Anolis sagrei: one gene and its partners. The protein of the gene in region 1 binds, or shares a complex with, the protein of each later gene. Links are inferred from orthologs where the notes say so. Each region holds a gene or a part of one and is shown in the gene's direction. Other genes may lie near its edges. The genes, in order: ORMDL3, SPTLC2, SPTSSA and SPTLC1.

What was found.
Region 2: the proteins of ORMDL3 (region 1) and SPTLC2 are in contact, whole or in part, in a cryo-EM structure (PDB 7K0O), measured with the Homo sapiens proteins. The link is inferred for Anolis sagrei from reciprocal best matches to the Homo sapiens genes ORMDL3 and SPTLC2. Residues at the interface, in NP_001307730.1 of Homo sapiens: Met1, Asn2, Val3, Gly4, Thr5, Ala6, His7, Ser8, Pro12, Val16, Ser19, Arg20, Gly21, Ile22, Leu24, Ser25, Leu28, Phe63, Val67, Lys68, Gly69, Thr70, Pro71, Phe72, Glu73, Pro75, Gln77, Arg81; in NP_004854.1 of Homo sapiens: Glu65, Thr66, Pro67, Met68, Ala71, Val72, Tyr75, Tyr86, Gln116, Phe118, Glu119, Asn120, Phe121, Tyr122, Tyr127, Trp134, Asp259, Glu260, Leu261, Asn262, Val267, Arg271, Ile279, Met320, Val495, Val496, Gly497, Phe498, Pro499, Ala500.
Region 3: the proteins of ORMDL3 (region 1) and SPTSSA are in contact, whole or in part, in a cryo-EM structure (PDB 7CQI), measured with the Homo sapiens proteins. The link is inferred for Anolis sagrei from reciprocal best matches to the Homo sapiens genes ORMDL3 and SPTSSA. Residues at the interface, in NP_001307730.1 of Homo sapiens: Val36, Leu38, Ser39, Ile40, Pro41, Phe42, Ser44; in NP_612145.2 of Homo sapiens: Ile44, Tyr50, Thr51, Val54, Phe55.
Region 4: the proteins of ORMDL3 (region 1) and SPTLC1 are in contact, whole or in part, in a cryo-EM structure (PDB 7K0N), measured with the Homo sapiens proteins. The link is inferred for Anolis sagrei from reciprocal best matches to the Homo sapiens genes ORMDL3 and SPTLC1. Residues at the interface, in NP_001307730.1 of Homo sapiens: Gly92, Val93, Gln94, Phe95, Thr96, Ala97, Lys100, Thr103, Ile104, Ile107, Tyr110, Phe111, Ser114, Tyr119, Gln121, Phe124, Thr128, Leu131, Met132, Leu139, Pro140, His143; in NP_006406.1 of Homo sapiens: Ala16, Leu17, Ala20, Pro21, Tyr23, His24, Leu27, Glu28, Leu31, Ile32, Trp34, Ile35, Leu38, Leu39, Ser41, Lys42, Thr43, Tyr44, Lys45, Leu46, Gln47.

What each region holds. Positions count from the first base shown.
Region 1 is NC_090026.1:42,251,404-42,258,386, reverse strand, and holds the start of ORMDL3 (ORM1-like protein 3), read left to right. Parts: upstream 1-3,978; 5' UTR 3,979-4,150; intron 4,151-6,983. UniProt on the Homo sapiens protein: Plays an essential role in the homeostatic regulation of sphingolipid de novo biosynthesis by modulating the activity of the serine palmitoyltransferase (SPT) in response to ceramide levels.
Region 2 is NC_090021.1:307,157,380-307,165,289, reverse strand, and holds the start of SPTLC2 (serine palmitoyltransferase 2), read left to right. Parts: upstream 1-4,910; 5' UTR 4,911-5,022; coding exon 5,023-5,130; intron 5,131-7,910. UniProt on the Homo sapiens protein: Component of the serine palmitoyltransferase multisubunit enzyme (SPT) that catalyzes the initial and rate-limiting step in sphingolipid biosynthesis by condensing L-serine and activated acyl-CoA (most commonly palmitoyl-CoA) to form long-chain bases.
Region 3 is NC_090021.1:300,873,110-300,879,977, reverse strand, and holds the start of SPTSSA (serine palmitoyltransferase small subunit A), read left to right. Parts: upstream 1-3,865; 5' UTR 3,866-3,880; coding exon 3,881-4,040; intron 4,041-6,868. UniProt on the Homo sapiens protein: Component of the serine palmitoyltransferase multisubunit enzyme (SPT) that catalyzes the initial and rate-limiting step in sphingolipid biosynthesis by condensing L-serine and activated acyl-CoA (most commonly palmitoyl-CoA) to form long-chain bases.
Region 4 is NC_090022.1:235,620,868-235,628,512, reverse strand, and holds the start of SPTLC1 (serine palmitoyltransferase 1), read left to right. Parts: upstream 1-4,639; 5' UTR 4,640-4,668; coding exon 4,669-4,731; intron 4,732-7,645. UniProt on the Homo sapiens protein: Component of the serine palmitoyltransferase multisubunit enzyme (SPT) that catalyzes the initial and rate-limiting step in sphingolipid biosynthesis by condensing L-serine and activated acyl-CoA (most commonly palmitoyl-CoA) to form long-chain bases.

The sequences.
Region 1 (6,983 bases):
CATGCCCGCTCTCCTTCCCCCATCATACAGTAGGAATGGGACAGGATGTGTTCTCCCATCAGGTGGGAGAAAGGGTGGTAACATGCAGCAACATGCATTGCCCCACCACTATTTCTCCCATCATACGGGGAAAAGGCAAGGAAAGTGCAGGTAGCTCCATCGGAGCTACACAAAACACACTTTCCTCCCTATAGTGATGGAGGAAGCACCTTTCGGTGTGATGTAATGTCACACGGCAGACCCTGTCCAAGCCATGAAACAAAGCAAAATGGGCATAAAATGCTCTTAGTAAAAAGGTCTTAGGAAAGATTGTGTGCAATCAAAGTCCTAGTGGCAGTGGGAACAAATGCTATAGCTATTGATTTTCTGATGAAAACTTACTTGCACTCTCATGTTCTGGGACTAAGGTTGTCATATTATTTGGCTAACTGGATTATCTAGGTTCTGGGCCCCTTTATCCAAATACCCCATCAACCAATGGGTATCGATATTGGGGGCAAAACTAAGGCATTGATCTCCAAATTAATCCCCCTCCCCATAAATTGATGCTTTCCTTTAGTCCTCACATTTCTAGCAATCTATTCCACTGTTGATTAGCTCTTAAAGTAAAAAAAAGTTCCTCTTAATATTGAGTTGACATTTGTTTTCTGGTCATTTGAATCAAATGATTCATGTTCTAGTCTCTAGAGCAACAGAAAACAAGCTTGTTCCATGCCATTAAAATATTTGTGGCATAACTTCGGATATTTAATAATAACTGTCATGTCATCTCCCAGTCTTCTCTTCTCACATTGATCACACACATTGATCCTCAACTTAATCAATAACAATAGTCCCCAAGTATGCATTCTTGTTTCATAAATCAAACATGTTGGTAGAATGCTGGGATTCTTTCAGGAAATAGAATGAAGCATTTTTTTCAAGATTGAAGTTAGTTGTTTTGACACATTAGATGCACAATTCTGGATAGTGTAACTTCAGGGATTCTCATGACAGATGCTCTTCTCTTTATTTTTCTCTCTTTACCCCTTTCACGGTCCTACCACAAATATTAGTTTTTTTATTTGGAAAATACTGGGAAGGTACATAAGCAGAATTAGTGAAGGCAGAAGAAAATTCCCAGTATATAAATAATCTCTTTGATTTTGTCTTCACATTTCTATGGCTGAAGAAACAATTTCACAGTGGTGTTCCTTGTTTTGGACAAGTAGAAAATAATATAATTGGTAACAGAAAATGTAATACAACATCTAGACCCAAAATGACCACAATAATTTATATGTAAAATGGTAAAGGTAAAGGTAAAGGTTTTCCTCTGACATTAAGTTCAGTCATGCCCGACTCTGGGGGTTGGTGCTCATCTGCATTTCTAAGCCAAAGAGCTGGCATTGTCCATAGACACCTCCAAGGTCATGTGGCAAGCATGACTGCATGGAGCACCGTTACCTTCCTGCTGAAGCAGTACCTATTGATCTACTCACATTTGCATGTTTTCGAACTCCTAGGTTGGCAGAAGCTGGAGCTAACAGTGGGAGTTCACGCCGCTCCCTGGATTCGAATCTTTCAGTCAACAAGTTCAGCAACTCAGTGCTTTAACCCACTGCATCATCGGGGGCTCCACATGATGAGCCCCCGGTGATACACAATGAACCAGGCATGTAGCCAGCGGGGGCTCGGGGGGCTTCAGCCCCCCCCCCCCCTGAAATTCTCATGGTGGTTTGCGAAAAGGCCTTACTGGTGCATTATTTAAACTGTTATGTTTATTAATATCGTGATCTGATCACCATACTCATATATCCCATATACATGGGGGTATTGGGGTAATGATACAAAAGGTTTGCTAGGCTAGACCCTCTTTCACTCAGACTCAGCCCCCCACTGAAACTCAGCCCCCCAGAACCCCCCCTGAAAAAAAATCACCCCCCCCCCCCCCGAAATGAAATCCTGGCTACGGGCCTGCGATGAGCATCTCTTATTTGAAAACCCAATATCTGAAATACTCCAGAATCCAAAACTGTCCATGTGGGGTCTGAGAAAGTGACACTTTTGCTTTCTGGTGGTGCACAAAATCCTCACAATCTCTGAGGATGCTTGCCACAAATGCAGGCAAAACGTCAGGAGAGAATACTTCTAGAACATGGCCATATAGCCCAAAAAAACCCAGTGCCCAAAATTATGTTAAAATATTCTATAAAGTTATTTTCAGGTTATGTGTATATGAAACATAAATGAATGTGTATATGAAACATAAATGAATTTTGTATATAGAATCATAGAGCTTGGAGAGATCACAAGGGCTGTTCACAACATCTTGCCATGAAGCCCTTTAGGTCCCATCTCCAAGACATCTCATCATGAACATATTCATATATACAGATATTCCAAAGTTTAGAAACAATCCAAAACTCCAAACACTTCTGGTCCCAAGCATTTTGTATAAGGGGTACTCAACCTGCATGTTGATCTTGGGAGATGGGGTTTTTTTTGGTAATTTTACATCCCAAACTGGTTGAAACTATCAAACCAAGTACATGACATTTACTATGATAGATTTTCAAAAGGTCTTTAGGGAGGAGTAACTTATTAAAAATAGTTAAATTTGCTCTCTGGGGGAAAGAAGAGTATTCTAAGCATAAATGTTTCATTCTGGATGAATCCTCTTTCAGACTGACATTCCCATATCCTTATATTTCATGTCTTATTTAGATTGCAAACCCTGGGACAGGGAATTGTCAAGCTAACAATTAGTAAGCCACTCTGGGAGTCTTTCTAGCTAAAGGATGAAATATAAAAATAGGTTAAGCATCCTTTATCCAGTATCCAAAATACTCCAAAAGTGCCCATATAGATGACTGAAATAGTGAAGCCTTTTCTGTCTGGTGGTCAGTATTCGCAAGGTTTGCTCATGACCCAAAAAACGTTGTCTATAAAATTACCTTCAGTCAATGTATATCAGATGTCTATGAAATATAAATGTATTTCATGTTTAGGCTTGGAACTCATCTCCAAGAAAATCCAAAATCCAAACACTTCTGGTCTCAAGCATTTTGAATACTCAATCTGTACTCTAAATAAATGAATTATCTTCTGTCCCCCAATTCATCCAACAAGCTCAAGGTAGCATATCTGTTTCTTCTGTTTCCCACTTTATGCAGGGAAAATGAGATATAAATGTAACTAATGTCTGAATGCAGTTTTATGCTGGAAAAATTGGATATAGAATCATAGAACTACAGAGTTGGAAGAGACCTCGTGGGCCATCTAGTCAAACACCCTGCCAAGAAGCAGGAAAATTGCATTCAAAGCACCCTGACAGATGGCCATCCAGGCTCTTTTTAAAAGCCTCCAAAGAAGGAGCTTCCGCCACACTCCAGGGCAGAGAGTTCCACCACTGAACAGCTTTCACAAGAAGTTCTTCCTCATGTTCAGGTGGAATCTCCTTTCCTGTAGTTTGAAACCATTGTTCGACATCCTAGTTTCCAGGGCAGCAGAAAACAAGCTTGCTCCCTCCTCTCTATGGCTTCCCCTCACATACACGACCATCATGTCTCTTCTTAGCCTTTTCTTCTGCCCAGCTCTTTAAGCCACTCCTCATAGGGCTTTTTCTCCAGACCCTTGATCATTTTAGTCGCCCTTCTCTGAGCACATTCCAGCTTGTCAACATCTCTCTTCAACTGCGGTGCCCAGAATTGGACACAATATTCCAGGTATGGTCTAATCAAGGCAGAATAGAGGGGTAGCATGACTTGCCTGGATCTAGACAATATACTCCTATTGATGTAGGCAAAAATATTATAAATGATCCTCACTATTATTATTCAATTCTGCCCTTAAAGGGGAATCCAATTCATCCTGCAGTTTGTCTTAACACTTCCAAAGAAAGAATGTGATCAACGCCAGAGTCCCAGCTTCTCCCTTAGAGAACTACATGTCCCAGCATGCTCCACTGTCTGATAGTGATGACGTATGCGAAGGGGGCGGTGCTATGAAAGCTCCTTGCTGTGTTGTCAGCTCTTGGGAAGAGAAGTCTGAGCAGCGGGGGTCTTTCAGAGCAGAGAAAGAGACCCCCCTTCCCCCGATTGCCCAAGGCCAGGCTTTTCCAGTTAATCCACATTGGAGAGAGACATTTTCTTCCTTTTTCTGTTGCAAGGTAAGTGAGGATCATGGAAGGGGAGCTTGGGGAGAGGGTCAGATGGTGCTTTAAGCCATGGGAAGGGAGAAGGTTGGGTTTGCTGGGCAGCACAGGCTCCCTTATCTAAAAGGCTTAGGATCAGAAATGTTTGGGGTTTCACATTCTGGATTATATGAAAGACCTATTTGCATTTGCTTAATTTTGCATAGATGTCCCTAATGAGATCTCTTGGGAGATGGGATCCAAGTCTAAACAATATTCATTTGTGTGTCATACATCCCTAATGGACATAACCTAAATGAAATGTTATATATTTAAATAATATTGTGCATGGAACAAAGTTGGTGTCCATTGAACTAAGCTAAGATACTACTCTCTCAGCCACTGATGTGGACAGTTTTGGATTTTGGAGTATTTCAGATTCTGAGATAAGGGATTAGTAAATAACCTGAATCCATAATATACATAGAATCATAGAGTTGGAAGAGACCTCATGGGCCATCCAGTCCAACCTCCTGCCAAGAAGCAGGAAAATTGTTATTCAAAGCACTCCTGACAGATGGCCATCCACCTTCTGTTTAAAAGCCTCCAAAAAAGGAGCCTCCACCACACTTCGGGGCAGAGAGTTCCACTGCTGAACAGCTCTCACAGTTAGGAAGTTCTTTCTAATGTTCAGATGGAATCTCCTTTCTTGTAGTTTGAAACCATTGTTCCGCGTCCTAGTCTCCAGAGCAGCAGAAAGCAAGCTTGCTCTCTCCTCCCTATGATTTCCTCTCTCACATATTTATACGTGGCTATCATGTCTCCTCTCAACCTTCTCTTCTTCAGGCTAAACATGCCCAGCTCTTTAAGTCGCTCCTCATAGGGCTTGTTCTCCAGACCGTTGCATAAAAGAAAGTTTGTGTGCATGGAAGCATCAGTAAGCAAAGGCATCACTGTCTCAGCCACCCATATGGATAGTTTGGAGTATTTGAGGATTTTTTTTTTCATGTCAAGAGCAACTGGAGAAACTGTAAGTTGCCTTTGGTGTGAGAGAATTGGCCATCTGCAAGGACGTTGCCCAAGGGATGCTCAGATGTTTTACCATCCTGTGGGAGGCTTCTCTCATGCCCCACATGAGAAGCTGGAACTGACAGATGGAGCTCACCCCGCTATCCGGATTTGAACCGCCAACCTTTTGGTCAGCAGTCCTGCTGGCACAAGGGTTTATTTGAGGATAAAGGGTTGATTTTAAAGTATTTGCGGATCATAAAATAAGGATAAGAGATGCACAATGTAAACCTAACCAAACAAGGAGTGGTCCAGCAACGGAGTTGTCTTGGAAGGATAAAATCATAGAATTGGAAGAGACCTACAGGGTCATCCAGTCCAACCCCCCTGCCATTGCAGGAATGCACAATCAAAGCACTCGCAGCAAATAGCTACTCAGCCTCTGCTTCACAACCTCCAGAAAAGGAGATGTGGCAAAGGGAACATGCATTGTTGCTGTTCCTTGGCAAGTGTGCATGGATGGAGAATAGCTCTTAAGATGAGGGAGTAGCAGGGAGAAATTGTGAAATTGTAAGTGTATCTACACTGTGGAATGAATGCAGTTTGACATCACTTTTACTGCCATGACTCAGTGCTATGAAATCATGGAAAGCAATAAGGTCTTTTGCTTTCTTTGCCAGTGAGTAGTGGCACCTCACCAAATGACATATTCTAAGACTCTGTAGCATTGAGCCATGGCAGTTAAAGTGTATCAAATTGCATTCATTCTACATTGTAGATCAGGCATGGTCAAACTTTGGGTTTGACTATGCCTGGTGTTTTGGACCAACTCCCACAATTCCTTACAGCCAGTAGGCTGTTAGGAATTGTGGGAGTTGAAGTCCAAAACATCGGAAAGGCCGAGGTTTGCCCATGCCTGGTGTAGATGCACCCAGACACAGAATTATGTGGACATTTTTGGATTATCAGAAATATTTTCCAATATGTTGGCGAGCAGCTTTAGGTTAAGATGGAAATGTAATGAGGAGATAAGTTGGGAATTTAGTGCCAACAGTAGTCTGGGCAAAATGAGGACATGAACACTGCCAAATAAGAATTTTGCCGCCACCACGATTAAATTTTCCTCCCGTTCCCACATTTCTAGCTTTGCAGTAACTTAAAACGTCAGTTGAGGCCTTTAGAAAAATATGTAGATCTCCAAAGAAAGAGGGCAGGTAGAGTCACCAAGGGAACATACAGGAAATGTAAGAGTTCTGAGTGTGAATTATTTTCAGTCTCTGTCTTTGGGATAGAAGGAAATGTTCATGGGAGGACACTGCACTCATTTCGCCCAACTCCCTAAAACTACGGCTCAAAGTGCCAGTGTTTCCTTCTTTCTTTGCTTCTCAATTTCTAGTTGTAACTGGGAGCGAGCATAGGAAAGTCTAATGCGTCGCCAGGGTGAAGCGAAGGCTGGATGCTGTTGAGGACACGCACGCACACCTTCTTTCTGCGTGTCACAGCCAGTGACTAAATTTAGAGTCTGTGGACCATGAGTCATTTTAGCTTCAAAACTCCAACAAAGTATTTTGTCACTAGGGTTTATTTTTATTTTATTAGTAGCAGTTACCTCCTGCTTTTCTTCCAATGGACTCAAGGTGGTGTAACTGCCTTCTTCCCAACAAAGCAGAGAAAGTGCCCAGTGTCATCTAATGTTGTGTAGGATTAGAGCACAGATTTTCCAAGGCTCCATCTACACTGTAGAATTAATGCATTTTGGCACTAATGTAACTGCAATGGCTCAATACTATGGCATCCTTGGAGTAGAGGTTTTATAATTTTTTTAGTTTTCTCTTCCAAAAATTGCTGGTGCCTCCCTAAA
Region 2 (7,910 bases), on another chromosome or scaffold:
GGTCCCTTCAGGTGTTTATTTATTTTAATATTGATTTCAAACATTTGTACCCCGTCCTTCTCAACACCCCCCCCCCCCCCGGGGGGGCGGAATCAGGGCGGCTTACATTTGGCACAATTTGATGGCATTACATATCAATAATACATACAGTAATTACATATAAGAACACAGTAAATTAATTTTAAAATTAGTTTTAAAATAAAAAGTATATTAATAAAAAGTTCAATAGTACTGGCTGTCTAGCCTTATGTAGAAACAAATTCAGCAAGCACAACAGTTTTTTGGGCTTCAACTCCCACAATTCCTAACAGAAGTCCAAAACACCTGGAGGGCCCAAGTTTGCCCATGTGTGGGTTATACAATAGTTGTATGCAGCATAAATGCCTGGGGAGACACATCCCTTATTTAACCATCCAGCTTTGTGTGTGTGTGTGTGTGCCAGGAGCAACTTGAGGAATTGCAAGTCACTTCTGGTGTGAGAACTGGCCGTCTGCAAGGACGTTGCCCAGGGGCTTGCTCCACTGTCACATAAAGTGGAGAATTTTTCTAGGTAGTGCCATTAGTCAGGTTGTCTTTTGATCTGGCCACTCAACTGAATCTGTGCAAGAACTTCCAAGTTGCCTGTTCTTGGTTTGCCCCTGGAGGAAGACCCTCATGGGGGACTATCCAGTTGGAATTGCCTGATTTTAATGCCCACGAGGATATTCTTGCTGTTGCTGAAGGCACATTAAGAGGAGTGGTTGTTCTCATGAAAGTTTTCCTTGACTTGAGTCTACTGGGAGGAGGCTGATATTTATTAATTTATTAATTTATTAATTATTTCTATCCCGCTTTATCTCTCCATATGGAAACTCAAAGCGGCTCTCAATCAAAAACATTGCAACTTAAAATACACAAATATAAAATAATAAAACAGTATATCTTTATATATTACTAGCTATCCCCTGCCACGCGTTGCTGTGGCCCAGTCTGTTGATATGGAAAATAAAGTAACGAGAAAGTGTTGGTTTCTAATATATGTAATTTTTTATGCTTGTGGGTAAACAGTATTTCTTGCTGTTTCTTTGTCAGTGTTGATGTGGAGAGTGTCTGGTTTTCCTGCTCTGGAACATGCAACATATAATTGTCCTTCTTCAGGGGTCCCTTTCAAATCTATAATACTATATTTGTGTGTGTGAATCATATCTGTCTATATCTATGGCTGGATAACTCTTTGTCAGGAGGCTTTGATTACATTTTCTTGCCCTGGTCATGGGGGTTCTGTGTGGTAGGTTTGCCCCGATTTTGTCATTTGTGGTGTTCAGAATGCTCTTTGATTGTATGTGAATTGTGAATCCCAGTGACTACAACTTCCAAATGTCAAGGTCTATGTCCCCCCAAACTCCATCTGTGTTCGTATTTGGGCGTATTGAGTGCTTGTGCCAAGTTTGGTCATTGTTTGAGTCCATAGTGCTCTCTGGATGTAGGTGAACTACAACTCCCAAACTCAAGGTCAATGCCCACCAAACCCTTCCAGTATTTTCTGTTGGTCAAGGGAGCTCTGTGTGCTAAATTTGGTTCAATTCCATCATTGATGGAGTTCAGAATGCTCTTTGATTGTAGGTGAACTATAAATCCCAGTAATTACAACCCCCAAATGACAAAATCATAATTTTTGAGTGATGGTCACTCCTTGTGTTGTGAGATGTTTTGTTGCCAAATTTGTTGTGATTTAGTTCATTGGTTTTTTTGTTTTTAAGGCACTCATTAGGCACAGAGCATTTATATATAGAGAGAGAGATTATATATTCTCAGTAATAATTATATTTAATATATATTTAATATATAGTAATATATTAGCATTATTATATTACAATATTTTATGCAACGAAGATCCGCATAGTTAAAACAATGGTATTCCCCATAGTCACCTACAGATGTGAGAGCTGGACCACCTACGGATGTGAGAGGCTGAGCGAAGGAAGATAGCCGCTTTTAAACTGCGGTTTACAGTGCAATTAAAACATAACAATGCAACAAACAGGATCAACAACATCGATCCACAACAAGCTTTCTTTTCTTCTCATGATGTGGCCAAAATACTTCATCTTTGCCTCTTCTATCCTTTCCTCCAGTGAGCAGCCGGGCTTTATTTCCTGAAGTATGGACTGGTTGGATCTTCTTGCAGTCCAAGGCACTCTCAGAGCTTTCCTCCAGCACCACAGCTCAAAAGTATCTATCTTCCTTCGCTCAGCCTTCCCTATGGTCCAGCTCTCACATCCGTAGGTGACTATGGGGAATACCTTTGCTTTAACTATGTGGATCTTTGTTGCCAGTCTGATGTCTCTACTCTTTACTATTTTATTGAGATTGGACATTGCTCTCCTCCCAAGAAGTAAGCGTCTTCTGATTTCCTGGCCACAGTCTGCATCTGCAGTAATCTTTGCACCTAGAAATACAAAGTCTGTCACGACCTCCACGATTTCTCCCTCTATTTTCCAGTTGTCAATCATTCTTGTTGCCATAATCTTGGTTTTTTTGATGTTTAGCTGCAACCCAGATTTTGCGCTTTCTTCTTTCACCTTGATTAGAAGGCTTCTCAGCTCCTCCTCGCTTTCGGCCATCAGAGTGGTGTCATCTGCATATGTGAGGTTGTTAATGTTTCTTCCAGCAATTTTCACCCCAGCTTTGCATCCATCAAGCCCCGCACATCGCATGATGTGTTCTGCATACAAGTTAAAAAGGTTGGGTGAGAGTATGCAGCCTTGCCGTACGCCTTTCCCAATCTTGAACCAGTCTGTTGTTCCGTGGTCAGTTCTTACTGTTGCTATTTGGTCCTTGTACAGATTCCTCAGGAGAGAGACAAGGTGGCTTGGTATGCCCATCCCACCAAGAACTTGCCACAATTTATTATGATCCACACAGTCAAAGGCTTTAGAATAGTCAATGAAGCAGAAGTAGATGTTTTTCTGAAACTCCCTGCCTTTCTCCATTATCCAGCGGATATTGGCAATTTGGTCTCTCGTTCCTCTACCTTTTCTAAACCCAGCTTGAACATCTGGCAACTCTCGCTCCATGTATTGCTGGAGTCTTCCTTGCAGGATCTTGAGCATTACCTTACTGGCATGAGAAATAAGGGCCACTGTACAGAAGTTTGAGCAGTCTTTCACATTTCCCTTTTTTGGTATGGGGATATAAGTTGATTTTTTCCAGTCTGATGGCCATTCTTGTGTTTTCCATATTTGCTGGCATATGGCATGCATCACCTTGACAGCATCATCTTTTAAGATTTTAAACAGTTCAGCTGGGATCCTGTCGTCTCCTGCTGCCTTGTTGTTAGCAATGCTTCTTAAGGCCCATTCAACCTCACTCCTCAGGATGTCTGGTTCTAATTCATTCACCACACCGTCAAAACTATCCTTGATATTATTATCTTTCCTATACAGATCTTCTGTATAGTCTCGCCACCTTCTCTTGATCTCTTCAGCTTCTGTTAGGTCCCCGCCATCTTTGTTTCTTATCATACTAATTTTTGCCTGAAATTTACCTCCAATGTTTCTAATTTTCTGGAAGACGTCTCTTGTCCTTCCTATTTTGTTGTCTTCTTCCACTTCCATGCATTGCTTGTTTAAAAATAGTTCCTTATCTCTTCTGGCTAACCTCTGGAATTGCGCATTTAACTGGGCATATCTCCCCTTAGGCGCAAAGATCTGCAGATGCAGACTGTAGCCAGGAAATCAGAAGACGCTTACTTCTTGGGAGGAGAGCAATGTCCAGTCTCGATAAACTAGTAAAGAGTAGAGACATCAGACTGGCAACCAAGATCCGCCTAGTCAAAGCCATGGTATTCCCTGTAGTAACCTACGGATGTGAGAGCTGGACCTTAGGGAAGGCTGAGTGAAGGAAGATAAATGCTTTTGAGCTGTGGTGTTGGAGGAAAGTTCTGAGAGTGCCTTGGACTGCGAGAAGATCCAACCAGTCCATCCTCCAGGAAATAAAGCCCGACTGCTCATTGGAGGGAAAGATACTAGAGACCAAGTTGAAGTACTTTGGCCACATCATGAGGAGACAGCAAAGCCTAGAGAAGACAATTATGCTGGGGAAAGTGGAAGGCAAAAAGAAGAGGGGCCGACCAAGGGCAAGATGGATGGATGGCATCCTTGAAGCGACTGGACTGACCTTGAAGGAGCTGAGGGTGGTGACGGCCGACAGGGAGCTCTGGCGTGGACTGGTCCATGAGGTCACGAAGAGTCGGAAACGACTGAACGAATGAACAACAACAACAACAACAACTCCCCTTATCCCTGTTTCCTTTTGCTTTCCTCCTTTCTTGGGCTACTTCCAGTGTCTCAGCAGACAACCATTTTGCCTTCTTGGTTTTCTTTTTCTTTGGGATGTACTTTGTTGCCGCCTCCTGAACAATGTCGCGGACTTCTGTCCATAGTTCTTCTGGGACTCTGTTTACTAAATCTAGTCCTTCAAACATATATGTATTTATATAGATTATTATATATAATACCTATATAGTGGGCGGCTTTCAGTGTTCAACTTTATCTCTCTCGCTATTGGGAATGGTGGGACTCCAACTCCCACCATTCCCAACAGCCTCAGGCCCTTCCTTTTCTTTCTCTCCCTCCCTCTCTCTCTCCCTCCCTCTCTCTCTCTCTCTCCCTCCCTCTCTCTCTCCCTCCCTCTCTCCCTCCCTCTCTCTCTCCCTCCCTCCCTCTCTCTCACCCTCTCCCTCCCTCCCTTCCTCCCAGTCCCCCCTCCTTCTTCTGAATCGAAAAGAACGGGCGCTCAGCTTGCCAAGGCCCGCCAATCGGAAGCCGCGACGTCACCGTGAGGGGCGGAGACAGAGCACAACTGCCATGCACGGGGACGTCTCCGCCCCCCAAGGTGACGTAACGGCCTCGGATTGGCGGGCTTCCCCGGCTGAGCTTCCGGTGCGATAGAGCGGCGCAGCGACGGGCGGAGGGTTGGTTGGTTTCTAAGGCTGCCGCCGCCGCCGCCGCCTCTCTTCCTCTCGCCGTCCGAGCCGGCAAAATGGTGCGCGGGCCCGAGAAGCTGGCTGGCCCGCCGCGAGCCAACGGCTGCAGCCTCCCCGGCCATAAGAACGGCTTCGTCCGCAGCGCCCCCGAGCCCCACAGCCAGGTGAGTGAGGCAGGCGCTGCCAGGAAACCCCGCCGGCCGCGCCCCTGAGGGAAGGCCTGCTTTTCCGGCCCGCTCCCCTCTTTCCCTGAGGCGGCGCCTTCCGGAGGCAGTGGAGAGGACCGGGTGGCAACCCTGCGCTCCTTCCTTCCTCCCTTCCTCCCTTCCTCCCTTCCTCCTCTCAGAACCATATTGGAGGGAGAGGCCTCAAGGAGCCTCCAGGCCATCCCCATGATTTCCCCTCAGAAGACATTTGGGTTTTGGAAGGATTTCTTTCAGGATGAGGAGTAAAGTGTACAAAATAGGTTAGACTCACGGAAAATTCAGTCCAACATTTCCTCCTAAAACCTTGAATTAGGGAATGATGGAGATAAGTTGTTTTCAGTACGTTAGAACAGGCATGGGTCAACTTGGGTCCTCCAGGTGTTTTGGACTCCAACTCCCACCATTCCCAACAGCCTCAGGCTTAAGCGGCTGAGGGTGAAAAGGAAAGGGCCTGAGGCTGTTGGGAATGGTGGGAGTTGGAGTCCAAAACACATGGAGGACCCAAGTTGACCCATGCCTGCATTAGACACATAGAGCTATCCAGTCCAATCCCATTTCCTTCCCAAAACTTTATATTTTCCCCTCAGAGAAATTCAGGAAATACTCTTGTATTATGAAATAATGTATTTTGAATATACTTGGCAGAATGGGGTTGGACTGGATGGCCCACGAGGTCTCTTCCGATCCTATGATTCTATGACATGGTTCTCGACTTGGTTCCCCAGGTGTTTTGGCCTACAACTCCCAGAAATCCCAGCCAGGTTACCAGCAGTTCTAGGAGTTGAAGGCCAAAACATCTGGGGACCCACAGGTCGAGAACTACTGTCATAGAATCACAGGGTTGGAAGAGACCTCCTGGGCCATCCAGTCCTACCCCATTCTGCCAAGAATATTCAAAATACATTATTTCATAATACATTTGAATATTTCCTGAATTTCTCTGAGGGGAAATAAAAAGTTTTAGGAAGGAAATGCGGTCATCCTGGCCATCCAGTCCAACCCCATTCTGCAAAGAAGCAGGAAAATTGCCATTCTGGGTGTTGAAGGCCAAAACATCTGGGGACCCACAGGTCGAAAACTACTGTCATAGAATCATAGGGTTGGAAAAGACCTCCTGGGCCATCCAGTCCAACCCCATTCTGCCAAGAAGCAGGAAAATCACATCCAAAGCACCCCCAAGAGATGGCCATCCAGCCTGTGTTTAAAAGCCTCTGAAGGAGGAGCCCCCACTACACTCCCGAGGCAGAGAGTTCCACTGCTGAACAGCTCTCGCAGTCAGGAAGTTCTTCCTAATGTTCAGGTGAAATCTCCTTTCCTGTAGTTTGAAGGCATTTCTCCGCATCCTAGTCTCCAGGGCCGCAGAAAACAAGCTTGCTCCGTCCTCCCTATGACTTCCCCTCACATAGTTATGCATGTCTATGTCTTCTCTCAGCCTTCTCTTCTTCAGTCTAAACATTCCCGGCTCTTTAAGCCACTCCTCATAGGGCTTGTTCTCCAGACCCTTGATCATTTTATTTACCCTCCTCTGGACACATTCCAGCTTGTCAACATCTCCCTTCAATTGTGGTGCCTAGAATTGGACACAGTATGACTCCAAGTGTGGTCGGACCAAGACAGAATGGGGGGGGGGGGGGTAGAATGACTTTCCTAGATCTAGAGACTAGACTCTTATTTATGCAAACCAAAATCCCATTGGCCTTTTTTGCCACTGCATGACATTGTTGGCTCATGTTTCACTTGTCCATGAGGACTCCCAAGATATTTTTCATACGTACTGCTGTCCAGCCAGGCGTCCCCTATTGTGTATCTTTGTATTTCATTTCTTCTGCCTAAGTGGAGTATCTTGCATTTGTCCTTGTTGAACTTCATTTTGTTAGTTTTGACACATCTCGCTAATCTGTTAAGATCGTTTTGAATTCTGCTCCTATCTTCTTGGGTATTAGCTATCCCTCCCAATTTGATGTCTGCAAATTGGATGATCATGCTTTCTAACCCAGGCATGGGCAAACTTGGGCCCTCCAGGTGTTTTGGACTTCAACTCCTGCAATACCTAACAGACTTCCAGCTGTTAGAAATTGTGGGAGTTGAAGTCCAAAAGATTTGGAGGGTGAAGTTTGTTCATGCCTGTACTCACCCTTTATCTAAGTCATTAATAAAGATGTTGAACAGATCGGGGCTCAGGACAGAACCCTGCAGCACTCGACTTGTCATTTCTTTCCATGATGTATCAGATGTTTTTATCAAGAGACTTACTGAAAAAAAGGACTGCGAAGAGCCTTCCATTAATAATAATAATAATAATAATAACAACAACAACAACAACAACAACTTTATTTATATTTCACCTTATCTCCCCTGGGGGACTCAGGGCGGATTCCAACAAACAAAAAGGGACACATTCAATGCCTCAATAATAGTAAATACAAATATAAAAACCCAAGATAACCCCACATAAAGAGCAACTTAAGCATAACAACTATAATTTGAATAAAACATACTCAATTAAAATTATAACTAACACAGAACTTAAAAATAAAACATCCAAATTAATATATCAAAACAACACAAAGGTTCACAAATGTGTACATAGATTGTATGGTGAAAGTTGGTAAGTGGGCTAATGTGATCTAACAAGGCCCGAGTGCATTCATACTATCCAGTCAGCAGTCTGGCAGTAGTTTCTCTTCATCTGATCCTCGTCCTTTCTAAAGATAGGTTTTAAACTGTTTTTTGAAGGA
Region 3 (6,868 bases), on another chromosome or scaffold:
TCTGTCTTTCTAGATTTGATATTAGATTATTAAATATTAGATTATTATGAAAGTTATATTAGATTATGAAAGTTGGCTTTTAGTCTAGCGCAGACCGTGCATCAGTATACTTCATTCTTGATTACTACCAATCTAAATACTAGAAAAAGAATGAAGAGATCGCTTTTTATTGAAAAATAAGAATTTTCTGCATGTGTTTACATCAGATTTTTAAAAAATGCCATTGAAGAAAAACAAAAGTGGAACATTGCTAAGGCATAAGAGTATTTTTTTTCTCCTTTACGTATATTGCCAAGAGGAGATACAATGGGATTAAAGAGCTACATTTAGAATGTAAAAATGCCCAGAATGCTGAAAAATTAGGAGTTAGGAAAATGTGGCTCAATTTTCCTCTGTATTTTGAATTGTTTTCGTTAAATCGAAATATGAGGAACAATTTTACCATATCTTATGTTGGGGAATATTTCAACACTTGACAAATATTTTCAGTCATTGCCTTTTGCTGAAGGAAAACTAGAGGAATTTAGGAAAAACCAGAGGCATGGTAGAATTGCTTCCATGTGCTCTAGAGCAGGGCTTCTTAAATATTTTCTAGTTGCGATCCCTTTCCGCCAAAGAAATGTTTCTGTGACCCCAAGTATATAGGTATATAAAATAGGTATACAAACCAAACATTTACTGTTAATAAATCAGCATTTGCAAGGCTTGCTAAACAGAAGGACAGCGGAAGCATTTTCTGCAGAGTTCACTGTAAACACTACATTGGAAGAGGGAGCAGGCCCTGGAGATTAGACCAAGGAGTTCAAATTACTGGAAACAAGATTCCACCTGAACATTAGGAAGAACTTCCTGACTGTACAAGCTGTTCAGCAATAGAACTCTTTGCCTCGGAGTATGGTGAAAGCTCCTTTCTTGGAGGCTTTTAAACAGGCTGGGTGGCCATCTGTCAGGGGTGCTTTGATTGTGCTTTCCCTGCATGGCAGGGGGTTGGACTAGATGGCCCATGTGGTCTCTTCCAACTCTGATTTTGGGTAAATGGTGACATTCAGAAATTTTTACTGTTGTTAGATTTTTCATGACTCCAACTTTGAGCTGATGGGACCCCATTTGGGGTTGGGACCCACAGTTTAAGCAGTGATCTGAGGATATATGAGGGCACTGAGTTAAAACAACAATTTTAAAAAGTGAGTGGTTCTCAAATTAGGTAAGCCATCTGCCTCCCCTCTTCTTTCCCAAGCAGATGAGCCCCAAACTCTCCTGCGAGTTGTTCAATGTCATTTCAGTTGTCCTTTTCAACCTTTGTTCCAGATCACTTCAGTGGCATTGGTAGCTGACACTGAAGGAGGAAGTGACAGCAAAATGACTGTCTATAAAACCCTTGTGCAGCGTTTCAGTGGAAAGTATGTTTCATAAAAACATCCCTGTGGTTACACAATACATTTTCTGTAAGTTCAGTTTCTGTACTGTTCCAATATACCGGCAAGGCTAAAACTCTATGCTAATTTTTCTTTTTGAACCTTCAAATGCCTATGTGCTGCGGCCGAGATGTCATTGTTATCCAACTGCAACAATGCTTCCTATTTATTGTACTTTTATCTATTTATGCTATCAATAAACTAAAAACAATGCCAATTTAAAACAATGTGAATACATTAAAATGTAAATTTAAAAACACACCATTAATGTTACAAAAACATTTAAATATTAAAATGAATGAAGTTGTTTCATCTGCATAGCACATGCAGATGAAATGACGGCATTCATTGTAATATTTAAATATTAAAATAACACATGCTGTTTTTGTTGTGCTGCTTGCTTCTTAATAGTAGCTGGTTATGCCAATTTTCTGGTACTTTGCCCACAATGTGTGGCATGAGAGGAGGTTCATGTGCGTGACACCATACAATCTACATTTATAATATAATTAATGCAGTTTAACACCTCTTTAACTGCCATGGCTCAATGCTGTGGAATCATGGGAGCTGTAGTTTTACAAACCTTCTCTGCCAAATGGTGCTGATGCCTCACCAAACTATAAACCCCATAGCATAGAGCCATGGCGGCTAAAATTGTGTCCAACTACATTAATTCTACAGCATCTAGATCAGGCATGAGCAAACTTTGGCCTTCCCTCCAGGTGTTTTGGATTTCAACTCCCACAATTCCTAACAGCTGGTCAGGAATTCCCCAGTTTTTTTTAATGTTGCTCTTTATTTACTGTCCTGATTTTAGAGGTTTTTTCCAATACTGGTAGCCAGATTTTGTTCATTTTCATGGTTCACAGAAAGGAAGAAACTATGAAAATGAACAAAATCCGGCTACCGGTATTTTAAAAACCCTAAAATCAGGTCAGTAAATTAAAGAGCATCACTCAAAAAACGGGAGTTTTTGACATGAAACAATCAGGGCCAGTTAACACCTCCCAATAAAGGATTCCCCCAGGCAGCAACCAGCCTGGCTTCGAAGCTACAAGGCCATTAGTGCTAATCAAGGTGGCCAGTTATTTATTTATTTCTATACTTCCCTTTTAACCCCTTCTCACAAGGTATATCTACATACACTATATTATATTATTAGTATATTACAATATCAGTATTAAGCATTACTATATTGTACTATACAATACAAAATATTACTATATTGTACTATACAGCTGCAACATTCACACTTGCCTCAAGCAGACAAAGGGTTTTTTCTCCCATCTGTACATTCCACATATATATAAACCTCATTTGCCTAGTTTCAAACAGACCTCACAACCTCTGAGGATGCCTGTCATAGATGTGGACGAAACGTCAGGAGAGAATGCTTTTGGAACATGGCCATACAGCCTGGAAAACTCACAGCAACCCAGGGTTCAGTTTTTCCCAGACCATGTCCTTCCAGGGGATTTGGACTTCTGGGTTGTTGTAGGTTTTTTCGGGCGATATGGCCATGTTCTAGAGCAGTGCTTCTCAACCTTGGGTCCCCAGATGTTTTTGGCCTACAACTCCCAGAAATCCCAGCCAGTTTACCAGCTGTTAGGATTTCTGGGAATTGTAGGCTAAAAACATCTGGGGACCCAGGTTGAGAATCACTGTTCTAGAGACATTCTCTCCTGACGTTTCGCCTGCATCTATGGCAAGCATCCTCAGAGGTAGTGGGGAACTAGGAAAGTGGGTTTATATGTCTGTGGAATGACCAGGGTGGGACAAAAGACTCTTGTCTGCTGGAGCTAGGTGTGAATGTTTCAACTGACCACCTTGATTAGCATTTGATGGCCTGTTAGTGCCTGGGGCAGTCTTTTGTTGAGAGGTGATTAGATGTCCCTGATTGTTCTCCCTCTGTTGTTTTGCTGTTGTAATTTTAGAGGTTTTTTTTTAATACTGGTAGCCAGATTTTGTTCATCTTCATGGTTTCCTCCTTTCTGTTGAAACTGTCCACATGCTTGTGGATTTCAATGGCTTCTCTGTGTAGTCTGACATGGTGGTTGTGAGAGTGGTCCAGCATTTCTGTGTCCTCAAATAATATGCTGTTTTGTTCATTTTCATGGTTTCCTCCTTTCTGTTGAAATTGTCCTCACAACCTCTGAGGATGCCTGTCATAAATGTGGACGAAACGTCAGGAGACAATACTTCTTGAACATAGCCATACAGCCTGGAAAACCTACAGCAACCCAGGGTTCAGTTTTTCCCAGACCATGGCCTTCCAGGGGATTTGGACTTCAACTCCCAGAATACCTAATCATGGGTGAAAGCAGCGGAGGCTTCTGGGAGTTGAAGTCCAGAAAAAAAACTTGGGAGGATTCGAGTGTGAGTGTTTCAGCGGGCCTGGCCAATCCGCGGAGACACTGTGCGTGACGTCACCTCGCCCCGCCCCTTCTTGCCGCCTGGGCCTGGATATGACTCCTTCTGCGCAGGCGCGGTTACCTTACTCACGGAGATTCAGCGGCGGCGTGATGGCGTTCTCTTCGGCCTGGAAGCGGATGTCGTGGTTCTATTACCAGTACCTCCTGGTCACCGCGCTGTACATGCTGGAGCCCTGGGAGCGGACGGTGTTCAGTATCCTTTCCGTGCTGCTGCTTCTTCTCAGGGACTTGGGAGGGAAGAAGAGGAGGAAGAGGAGGGGACAGGAAGTGGGAAAGGCCTGGCTTTGGTGGAGGAAGGAGGCCCCTCAGGCCCTCCCTGAGTGTCTGAAGGGAGGACACTGGGTGTATTTCAGGCCTGGGCAAACTTGGGCCCTCCAGGTGTTTTGGACTTCAACTCCCACCATTCCTGACAGCCTCAGGCCCCTTCCTTTTCCCCCTCAGCCAAGCGGCTGAGGGGGAAAAGGAAGGGGCCTGAGGCTGTCAGGAATGGTGGGAGTTGAAGTCCAAAACACCTGGAGGGCCCAAGTTTGCCCAGGCCTGAGTCAAAGCCTCCTAATAATTTGCTGAGAGGTGTTCAAGAGTATTAAAAGAAATTACAACAAGGCATTAGCAGTCACACTTGACAAAACAGAGTAGCAATTGAATTGATTATAAATATTGAGTATGCAAGAAATCGTGTGAGGTGTGACATCTATTTTAATTCAGCGTCCCAATTAAAATTAAAACAGCTGCCGTGATGATTTTTAAAATTCCAACCCTTTGTTACTCATGGATTTTTATATCCTCTCTTTCTTCCTCCAGTGAGCGTCTCTTCCGCTTGCTTGTTCTCACAAAAAGCTTGTGAGGTAGGTCAGATGAGGGCAAACAAATTGAAACTGAATACAGTGGTCCCTCGCTACTTCGTGGTTTACTTTTTGTGGACTCGCTGTTTAATTTATTAGTGCAATATGTGAACATGGAATGGTGTGATGATCATAGGAACAACCTCAATTATGTTAATGGACTATGGGATTTTAATAATTTTAATGATGGCATGTTTTAGTGGATGTTTTTATGTATATTTTTATTTGCTGGATATGTATTGTATGTACTGTTTGGCAGATGAGCTCCCTCTATCAGCTCCAGCTCCTCATGCGGGGACATGAGAGAAGCCTCCCACAAGGATGATAAAACATCAAAAAATCATCCAGGCGTCCCCTGGGCAATGTCCTTGCAGACGGCCAATTCTCTCACAACAGGAGTGGTCGCTCTTGACACGAAAAAAAAACCAAACTGTTTGGCATCAAATTGTGCCTCTGTGCATTTGGGGTTGAGAAGAACGGGATATAAACATGACAAATAAATAAGTAATAGAAAAGTGGCAAATCCAGCATTTTATTTATTCTAGATATTTCTACCACACCTTTTTCTGCAAGTGGACCCAAGGTGGCCTACAACATGTAAACTATATAATACAATTTTTTTCAGTGTCAGGAGTGACTTGAAAAACTGCAAGTAGCTTCTGGTGTGAGAGAATTGGCCGTCTGCAGGGACCTTGCCCAGAGGATGACAGCATGTTTGACGTTTAACCATCTTGTGGGAGGCTTCTCTCATGTCACCACATGGGGACCTAGAACTGAAAGAGGGAGCTCATTCGCTCTCTCCCAATATTCGAAGCTCTGACCTGTCGGTCTTCAGTCCTGCTGGCACAAGGATTTAACCTATTGTGCCATGAGGGGCTCCAGTACAAAATTAAAACATAATTACCAAAGTTAAAACATAACCCAATCCCATCTCCTCAGTATAAAACCCCTTTGAAATAAAATATTAGACGTTAAAACTCAACCCAGCCCCAAAAACACGGCTCAAACTTTAATTACTAGCATTCTTAAATAGTAAGGTCTTTACACCCCTCTGGAAACACAACAGAGATGGTGGTGGTCTTAGCTCTTCTGGAAAGAAGTTCAAGGTGTCAGTACCAGCCCTGAGAAGGAGCCTTCCCTCATCCTACTTAAACACATGTTGGAGAGGGCCCTAGGAGAGATAAGGGTCTCAGCTGGCTCTCAACACTTGACTCGGTCCCCTGGTAAATTTTATGCCTCAGCTGGGACTTGAACTTGGATTCATTTTTCAACACATAGTATACCACAGTAACTGTTGTATTATGTTACAGGTTGAGTGCTCCTTGTGTGAAATTCTAAAATTAAAAACAAATATTCCTAAATTCACTATGGGTTTGCTGAGATAATGACTCCCTTTGATTTCTAATGGTACAACTTATGCAATACGCTTAGTTTGCTGTGTGTTATGACATGGGGTGAGGGATGTCCTCCCTTTATTGCGCATCACATTAGTGGCATATGTAGGCATGAGTCAATCAGTACACAAGCTTGGTGTAATGCTTAAGTTGATTAAAAATATTCTGTATGAAAATACTTGGATCCCATCGCCAAGATTTCCCTTTATGTATTTATATGCAAATAAAGGTGTTCAAAAATTCAAAGAGATCCAAAATGCATCTTCTCCTAAGCTCTTTGGATAAAGGGTACTCAGCCTATATGTCTATTGAATGTCTCTGTGGTTCTTCCCTTCCCCTTTAAATTCAGAGCAGGATTTTCCCTTGATTACAAGAGAGGAGATTCCATCTGAACATGAGGAAAAACTTCCTGACTGTGAGAGCAGTGGAACTCTCTGCCCCGGAGTGTGGTGGAGGCTCCTTCTTTGGAAGCTTTTAAACAGAGGCTGGATGGCCATCTGTCAGGGGTGATTTGAATGCAATATTCCTGCTTCTTGGCAGGGGGTTGGACTGGATGGCCCATGAGGTCTCTTCCAACTCTTTGATTCTATGATTCTATGATTCTCAGTCGTGCACGAATTGGGTTTTGCCTACTTTACCTTTACTCTTTTTGTGGGGTTTGCGTCAATTGGTGATAGGGCAGGAGATGTGAGATGAGAACAGGAATGGACAAGTGACAGGTGGCCTTGGGCTTCATTTGGCTCTTTAGGGTGAAGTCGTGGCCAAAATAGAAAGCTTTTGCTTTG
Region 4 (7,645 bases), on another chromosome or scaffold:
TTACACAGATCTGCCTAGGAATTTCTTGCATGCTGGTGTCTTCTCTCCTTATCAACTCCTCTTTGGCTGGTCCTCATTCTTGTATTAAATTTTCTGGGTTTTTTTTTTTAATCTCCAATATTTACATTCAAGGATTTAAAGTTTCTAGACTATCTTTACTCACCCTCTTGGTATTTGGAGGTGGGATCTACCCATTTTTTCAATTTTTTTGAGCACCCACATTAGAACACAGTTGTTTTCAAGGAATAGAGTACTTATAAAAACAGAAGCAGCTTCATGTAGGAAGTGAGGTCTGATCATGATTTTTAATGACCATATAATTTATTCAGAGATTTGTTTCTAAGACAAAGCAGCCAGAGAAGTGGAGGGTGTGACTGGGCTAAAAACTAAAGGATGTCGTTCCTGTTTCTCTGCTTGTTTTGCCGTCGGCGACCAGCTGAAATGTATTATTGCTTCAGCCCTCCCTACTCCCAACACTTTTCCCCCATCTGATGTTATTACAAATAACTGAAATTACAGTGTTTCATAAACTTCTAGATGTTTTGCGCATGAGAGCTGTTACACGGGTAATTCATCACATCCGTGATATAATCATTAATCCCAGATGAATTGCTCTCTTAAGAAATATTTCACAGGTGAGTCAGAAAATGTCGCTGCAGTTGAAAATTTGCAAGTAAAGCAGAAGAGGACTTGCTTTATGAGTTCTGAATTTCTAGCCACATTTACAGGATAAGAAGCAGTTGTATCACCTCACAATAGTGTGACGTTCTGGACTTTTCAGTGGAAAATGTTATTTCATTTATTAGATACAAATTGAACATTCCTTATCCAAAATTCCAATATTCTGGCTGGCTGAGATACTCACACCTTTGCTTTCTCGTGACTCAATATATCCAGACTTGGTTTCATGCACAAAATTTAAATTATTTAAATAAAATACTGTTTATAAACATATTTTCAGGCTGTATGTATAATGTATATATGAAACATTTAGACTTGGGCCTCATCTCCAAGATATCTCAGTAGGTAGGTATATTACCTGTAAAGCCCTATATGCTTCAGGTCCAACCTATCTTTGAGACTGCACCTCCTTCTATGAACCGGCATGGGCACTATGATCTACCAGGGAAGGCCTCCTCTCAGTCTCACCTCCATCACAAGTGTGATTGGTGGGGACGAGAGAGAAGGCCTTCTCGGTGGCGCCCCATAACTTTGGAATGCCCTCACGTGAGAGATTAGGCTAGCCCCCACTCTCCAAGCCTTCTGTATACAACTGAAGAACATGGTTATTTCTGCAAGCAAGCCTTTGGCCATGTTTAGAATCTCTTAACATTTGAAGACCTAGAGACTATTACACTGTGCACTTTATGAGACTGATACTGGTTGCAATTATTTTATACCTGCAGCTATTGTTACATTTTATAGATATTAACCGGGGGGGGGGGGGATTGTGATGTTTATGTTGGTTGTTATTCCTTCTGTGGTATTGTCTTTGCACTTTGTATTTTGGTGTTTGCACCTTTGAGTGCTTTGTGAGCTACTCTGAGTCCCTTTGAGAGTTAGTGGCAGGGTATAAATAAAAATGGTGGTGGTGATGATGATGATGATGATGATGATGATGATTCTTCTTCTTCTTCTTCTTCTTCTTCTTCTTCTTCTTATTATTATTATTATTATTATTATACAAATCCAAAACATTCTAGTCCCAAGCATTTAAGGTAGGGGATACCCATCCTATGTTAAGATAGCATATATATTAGATATTATAAAGTAAGAATCTATGGAGAGGGGTGACAGAATTATATGTTGGGTGTGATAATTGGTGCAATGTCTGAGATAATTTTAAAAGGCTGTTCTGTATGAGCACAAATTAGGGATCTGAGGTTAGGAGAGCAAGAATCAGAGTTAACTAGGACATATGTGTGTAAGAAAAATGAGAATTTTATTTAAATGTATAAAATAAGTTATTTGTCATGTTATGTTTATTTCTGTTTAATAAATCATTTTAATTACATGTTTATCCTCTGGGAATGCTTACATTGGAAAGTTCACATCAGGTACATTGTCTGATGACAGAGCATTGATGTGTGATGAGGATGTAATTTCTAAAAGGTCCTCACAACTGATGGCCAGAATAGGGTCCTTGCACTGGAGGCAGAGGTGTGGATAATAGAAAGACTTCACATTAAATGGCAGTAGTTGGGATAAGTAGAAGTCTCTCCATGTATTCCAACTGGCACTGTCCTGGCCTCAGAGGATGAGAAGAGGCAGGCACAACTCCATCATGCCTATGACCAGAATCAGATGAAAAGCCCTCCCTCTATCCCAACTGTAACTGCCTTGTCCTTGGAGTGAGAGAAGTAGTATTTGCTTAATCTCCTCTCTTAGGCCGCCATCTCCTTTTTCTTTTTTACAAGTTTATCCCCAAAGTGACTGCTGTGTATGTGTCTATCTATCTATGAGATAAATCCACCAAAGAATAACATTTCTGTAAATGTGTGAAACACACATGCCCAATATTGTCAGTGTCAAGGTTAATAGGTCATTCTTACACATAGGTCTGTGTCACAATTATGAAAACAACATGCCTTGATCTTTGCAGAAGCAAAATTATTGCTTACTTACCAAAAAAGGGGAAGTTTGCTCTGTTGTGAGTCACCACAGGGGCCATCCTGGGAGGAAAGAAAAATATAAATAAGTATAACTAGGGATGCATCAACATTGTAGAATTAATGAAGTTTGATACCACTTCAACTGTTATTTCTCAACTGCATGGAACCATGGAAGTTGTCATTTGGTGAGGCATCAAGACTATTTGGCATAGAGGGCTGAAGACCTTGCAAAACTACAACTTTCACAGCATTGAGCCATGGCCCATGGTAGTTAAAATGGTGTCACTCTGCATAAATTCTGCAGTTTAGACAGTTGATCATTGACTCATGATTAACACACTCAACCTAAGCACATTTATTCAGAAGTAACTTCTAAGGAGCTGGCAGGCACTGACTTCCTGGTGCATATATCAAGTGTGAAGGCATAATTACAACATTGGCTGTATCTTTCAGGCTGGAATGATCCCATAATCCCCTATTTCTCCCCCATGTGGGAACCTACACTGGCCCCATGGCAACGCCCCTGTAACCCAAACTTTATGAACTTTTTCCAACTTCTATAAATTTTTGGGAACTTTTATCAACTTTTGAGAACTTTTAAGACCTTTAGGAACTTCCATGGACTCTTTGTCAAATCCCTATGAACTCTTATGAACCCCCGGGCCTTAGTTTGAGGACCCCTGACCCAGACTATAAAGTCAGAACATCCCACAGTATCTGTTTTGAACTGGGTTGTCTGAATGCACACTCAGCTAATGTGGGATTTTCTGTCTTGATGTTTTGGGATATAGGGCTGTGTGGAAGGGTCCTGAGTGTGGACTCAGACAACTCAGTTCAAAGCAGATATTGTGGGATTTTCTGCCTTGGTAGTCTGGGATATAGGGCTGTGTGGAAGGGCCATCTGTTATCGGAGTCCACACTGCCATATATCCCAGGTCAAAACAGATAATGTAGGGCTTTGTTTAGCTGTGTGGAAGGGGCCCATGTGCCAAGTTATTGAAGCTGATGTATTCCTGGACATTATTAATGCTATATCATAATATCTGGTTTTATTTATTTATCGTGTCAGGAGCAACCAGAAAGGAGATTCCATCTGAACATGTGGAAGAACTTCCTGTGAGAGCCGTTCAGCAGTGGAACTCTCTGCCCCGGAGTGTGGTGGAGGCTCCTTCTTTGGAAGTTTTTAAACAGAGGCTGGATGGCCATCTGTCAGTGGTGATTTGAATGCAATATTCCTGCTTCTTGGCAGGGGGTTGGCCTGGATGGCCCATGAGGTCTCTTTCAACTCTTTGATTGTATGGGTTGTTGTAGGTTTTTCGGGCTATACGGCCATGGTCTAGAGGCCATATAGCCCGAAAAACCTACAACAACCCAGTGATTCCGGCCATGAAAGCCTTCGACAATTCTTTGATTGTATGATTCTATGATTTGTATTACATTTTTAACAAAACAAACTGACAAAAATATATTATCTGGTGCGGGGATAGAAATAACATGCAAAGGAGAATATTTCTCCTGTAAGAGCAAAAAGAAAAAGTTTCAGCAAACTTTCTTGATTCAAAACTAACAATGAGCACACAATGTGAAATGGAATAGCCAAGAAAATCCTGGCAGACATAAGAAAACATTTTGAACCCATCAAGTATTTCACATAGGGATACTCAAACCAGTAAATAATCCCTGCCGAACTAAGGGGGCGTCTACACTGTGGAATTAATGCAGTTTGACACCACTTTCACTACAGAATCCTGGGGAGGCACCAGGACTATTTGGCAGAGAATGCTGAAGGCTTTATAAAACTACAATTCCCAAAGCAATGAGCCATGATAGTTAAATTGGTGTCAGACTTCATTGATGTCACTGTCCCTTTAAGAATCACATCCCTTCCTCCTAAACAGAGCAACCCCAGCCAGACTGCGAGGCCAAAGAGACAACACTGACGATGCTCCCATCTTCTCTTGCTCCCTGTGAGCGCCTCCCTCTTGTTTTATACCCGGCGTGACGTCAACGCGCGCCTGCGCCGTGGCTCGCCGAGACCCGGAAGTAGCTGGTGGCGATGGCGGCGGAGGGCATGGGGCAGCAGTGGGTGCTGGTGGAGATGGTCCAGGCCTTCTACGAGGTGAGGGGCGGCCTTAAAGGCGCGGGCGGCCCTTCGCCTTCTTTCCCTCCGAAAGAAAAGAGGCGAGGGCTTCAAGGGGATGAGGGCGCCATTCTCAGGGATTCCTCTCCCCCCATTAATAGGTCTGCTATCAACTTATGGCGGCCTTATATGCATCCCATAGGGTTTTCTTAGGCAAGGGATGCTCAGAGCTGGTTTTGCCAGTTCCTGAAATACATCCAACAGGACTCCCAAGGACTAATCAAAGCTGGCTTGGCTGAACTTCCAAGACCAGACAGAACCTGGTGCCTTTGGGTTCCTGTGCCTTATAAGGGCCTTTCCACACCACCACTCAACCCAGAATATCAAGGCAGAAAATCCCACAATATCTGCTTTGAACTGAGTTATCTGAGTCCACACTGCCTTATATCCCAGTTCAAAGCAGATGATGTGAAAATTCATTTAGTTGTGCGGAAGGGACCTTAGTTATCAAGGCAGGGAGGGAGGGAAATCTCAGAAAGGGGTGAGTTTGAGTTGTGTGGGCGTGCAAGGTGTGTAATCACAGCAGTTTCATTTTACACATAAGGAGGCGGTGCCTGGACGTGTGGCTTTGTCAAGTCAGTTTGGCATGTCCCTGTTTGGAGAAACAGGGCAGGAGATAAAAGGATGGATCTCAGCTAAAGTACTTCTGCACTTTGTAGTTATAGCAGTTTGACTGCCATGGCTCAATGCTATGGGATCCTGGGAGTTGCAGTTTAGTGAGGCACCAGCACTCCCTTAATTCCATTGCATTAAGACATGACAATTAGAGTGGTGACAAACTGCATTGATTCTACATGATAGATGCCCCGTGGGAGACAGATGGGATATGTATTAAATAAATGTTCAGGAGCAAATGTTTAATAATAATAATAATAATAATAAGCAAGATTGCAGAGAAACAACTGGAAAAGTTGACACGATATGCGGATTTAAAGATTGAATAATAATAATAATAATAATAATAATAATAATTTTATTTAATACCCCGCCACCATCTCCCCAATGGGGACTCGGGGTGGCTTACATGAGGCCAAGCCCAACAGCAAAGACTCTGGAACAACCCAGTCAAGGTAGTCCCAGTGATGATTGGCACACTGGGTGCAGTGCTTAAAGACCTTGGCCTGCACTTAAACACAATAGGCACTGACAAAATTACCATCTGCCAGCTGCAGAAGGCCACCTTACTGGGATCTGCAAGCGTTATTCGCCGATACATCACACAGTCCTAGACACTTGGGAAGTGTCGGACGTGTGATCCAATTCAACAGCCAGCAGAGTGTCTGCTGTGGACTCATCTTATTGTGTTTCAAATAATAATAATAATCATCATCATCATCATCACTGACTAAATCACAATTTGTCCACTGTAAAAGACCACCTTACTTGGATCTGCGCGCATCATTCAAAAATACATTGCACAGTCCTAGACACTTGGGAAGTGTTCAACTTGTGATTTTGTGATACAAAATCCAACATACATATCTGTGTCATACTGTGTTTTGTGTCAGTAAGGTAATACTATGATAATACAACTTTATTTATATTCCGCCCTATCTCCCTAAGGAGACTCAGGGCAGATTTCAACAAGCAGAAAGGCAAACATTCAATGCCATTACAAGATCATAAATTCAAATACAGTACAAGAACAACCCAACCAAGTCCCAAAATGCACCAGCATCTACGGTCAAATTAAACTTGCAACCTCAAATTAAATGGTAACATAGCCTATCAAGTAACTTAACATGAAAAAACATTGACATAGAACTCAGTTTACAGAAACACCAAAAGTTCAGTTGAAATGAAATTACAGCACCTGCAAGGGAGGGTGCCATTTTTATTTCTTTAAGGCGGGAATTCCAGAGATGGGGGGTGATCGCAGACAAGGCCCTCTCTCGTTCCCACCAGTCGTACTTTAGTGGCAAGGTGGAGGAAAAATGTTTGATCATTACTTTGACATCTGAATTTCCTCCAGAGCTATACATTTCTGCACCCTATCTGAAGAATGCTACCCTTTATTTATATCTTTATTTATTTTACTCTGGAGATTTTTTGATCATGTTGTAGCTGAGCGTGCTATATTAGCTAATATTCTGCTAAAATAAATTTAATTTTCATTAATCTCAAATCAGAGCAGTTTGGAGTACTATCCTATGAATGCCCTGAAACTTAGTCTTTGAATATAGTGGTGCTTGGGTATATATTATGAAAATCCCTGCTGTTAAAGAATTATTGGACATGTGCTATTAAGAGGTAAATTAAATCTGGATGCCTTTTTTACTGACTAGTGATTGTCAAATAACAAGAGGTGCACCTATACTGTGGAATTAATGTAGTTTGACAGCACTTTCACTGTCCTGGTTCAATGCTATGAAACCCTAGGACTTGTAGTTTTACAAGGTTTTTCGCTTTCTCTGCCAAAGAATGCTGGTGCTTTACTAAACTCACAGTTCCAATGTTTCCATACCACAGAGCCAGCAATTAAAGCAATGTCAAACCTGTATTAACTCTATAATGTAGATCCACCATTAGTTGAAGTTGTGAACTAGCAATTAAGCATATTTCTAAATAAACATATACAGGTTCAGGTTGTCTTCTATAAATCTAGTGAGCCTTTTGTGTGTATGGTGAGCTGTTAAGTAAATCATGGGTTTCATTCTGAACGTGCCACCATGAACCTGGGATTTTAGTGTTTTATATGTCATCTGTATTAGTAAATTAAAAATGTATGGAATAAATCAACAAACCATATCAGGAATACTGGGTTGCTGGGAATTTTCTGGGCTGTATGGCCATGTTCAAGAATTATTCTCTCCTGACGTTTTGCCCACATCTATGGCAAGCAACCTCTGAGGATGCCTGCCATAGATATAGGCGAAACATCAGGAGAGAATGC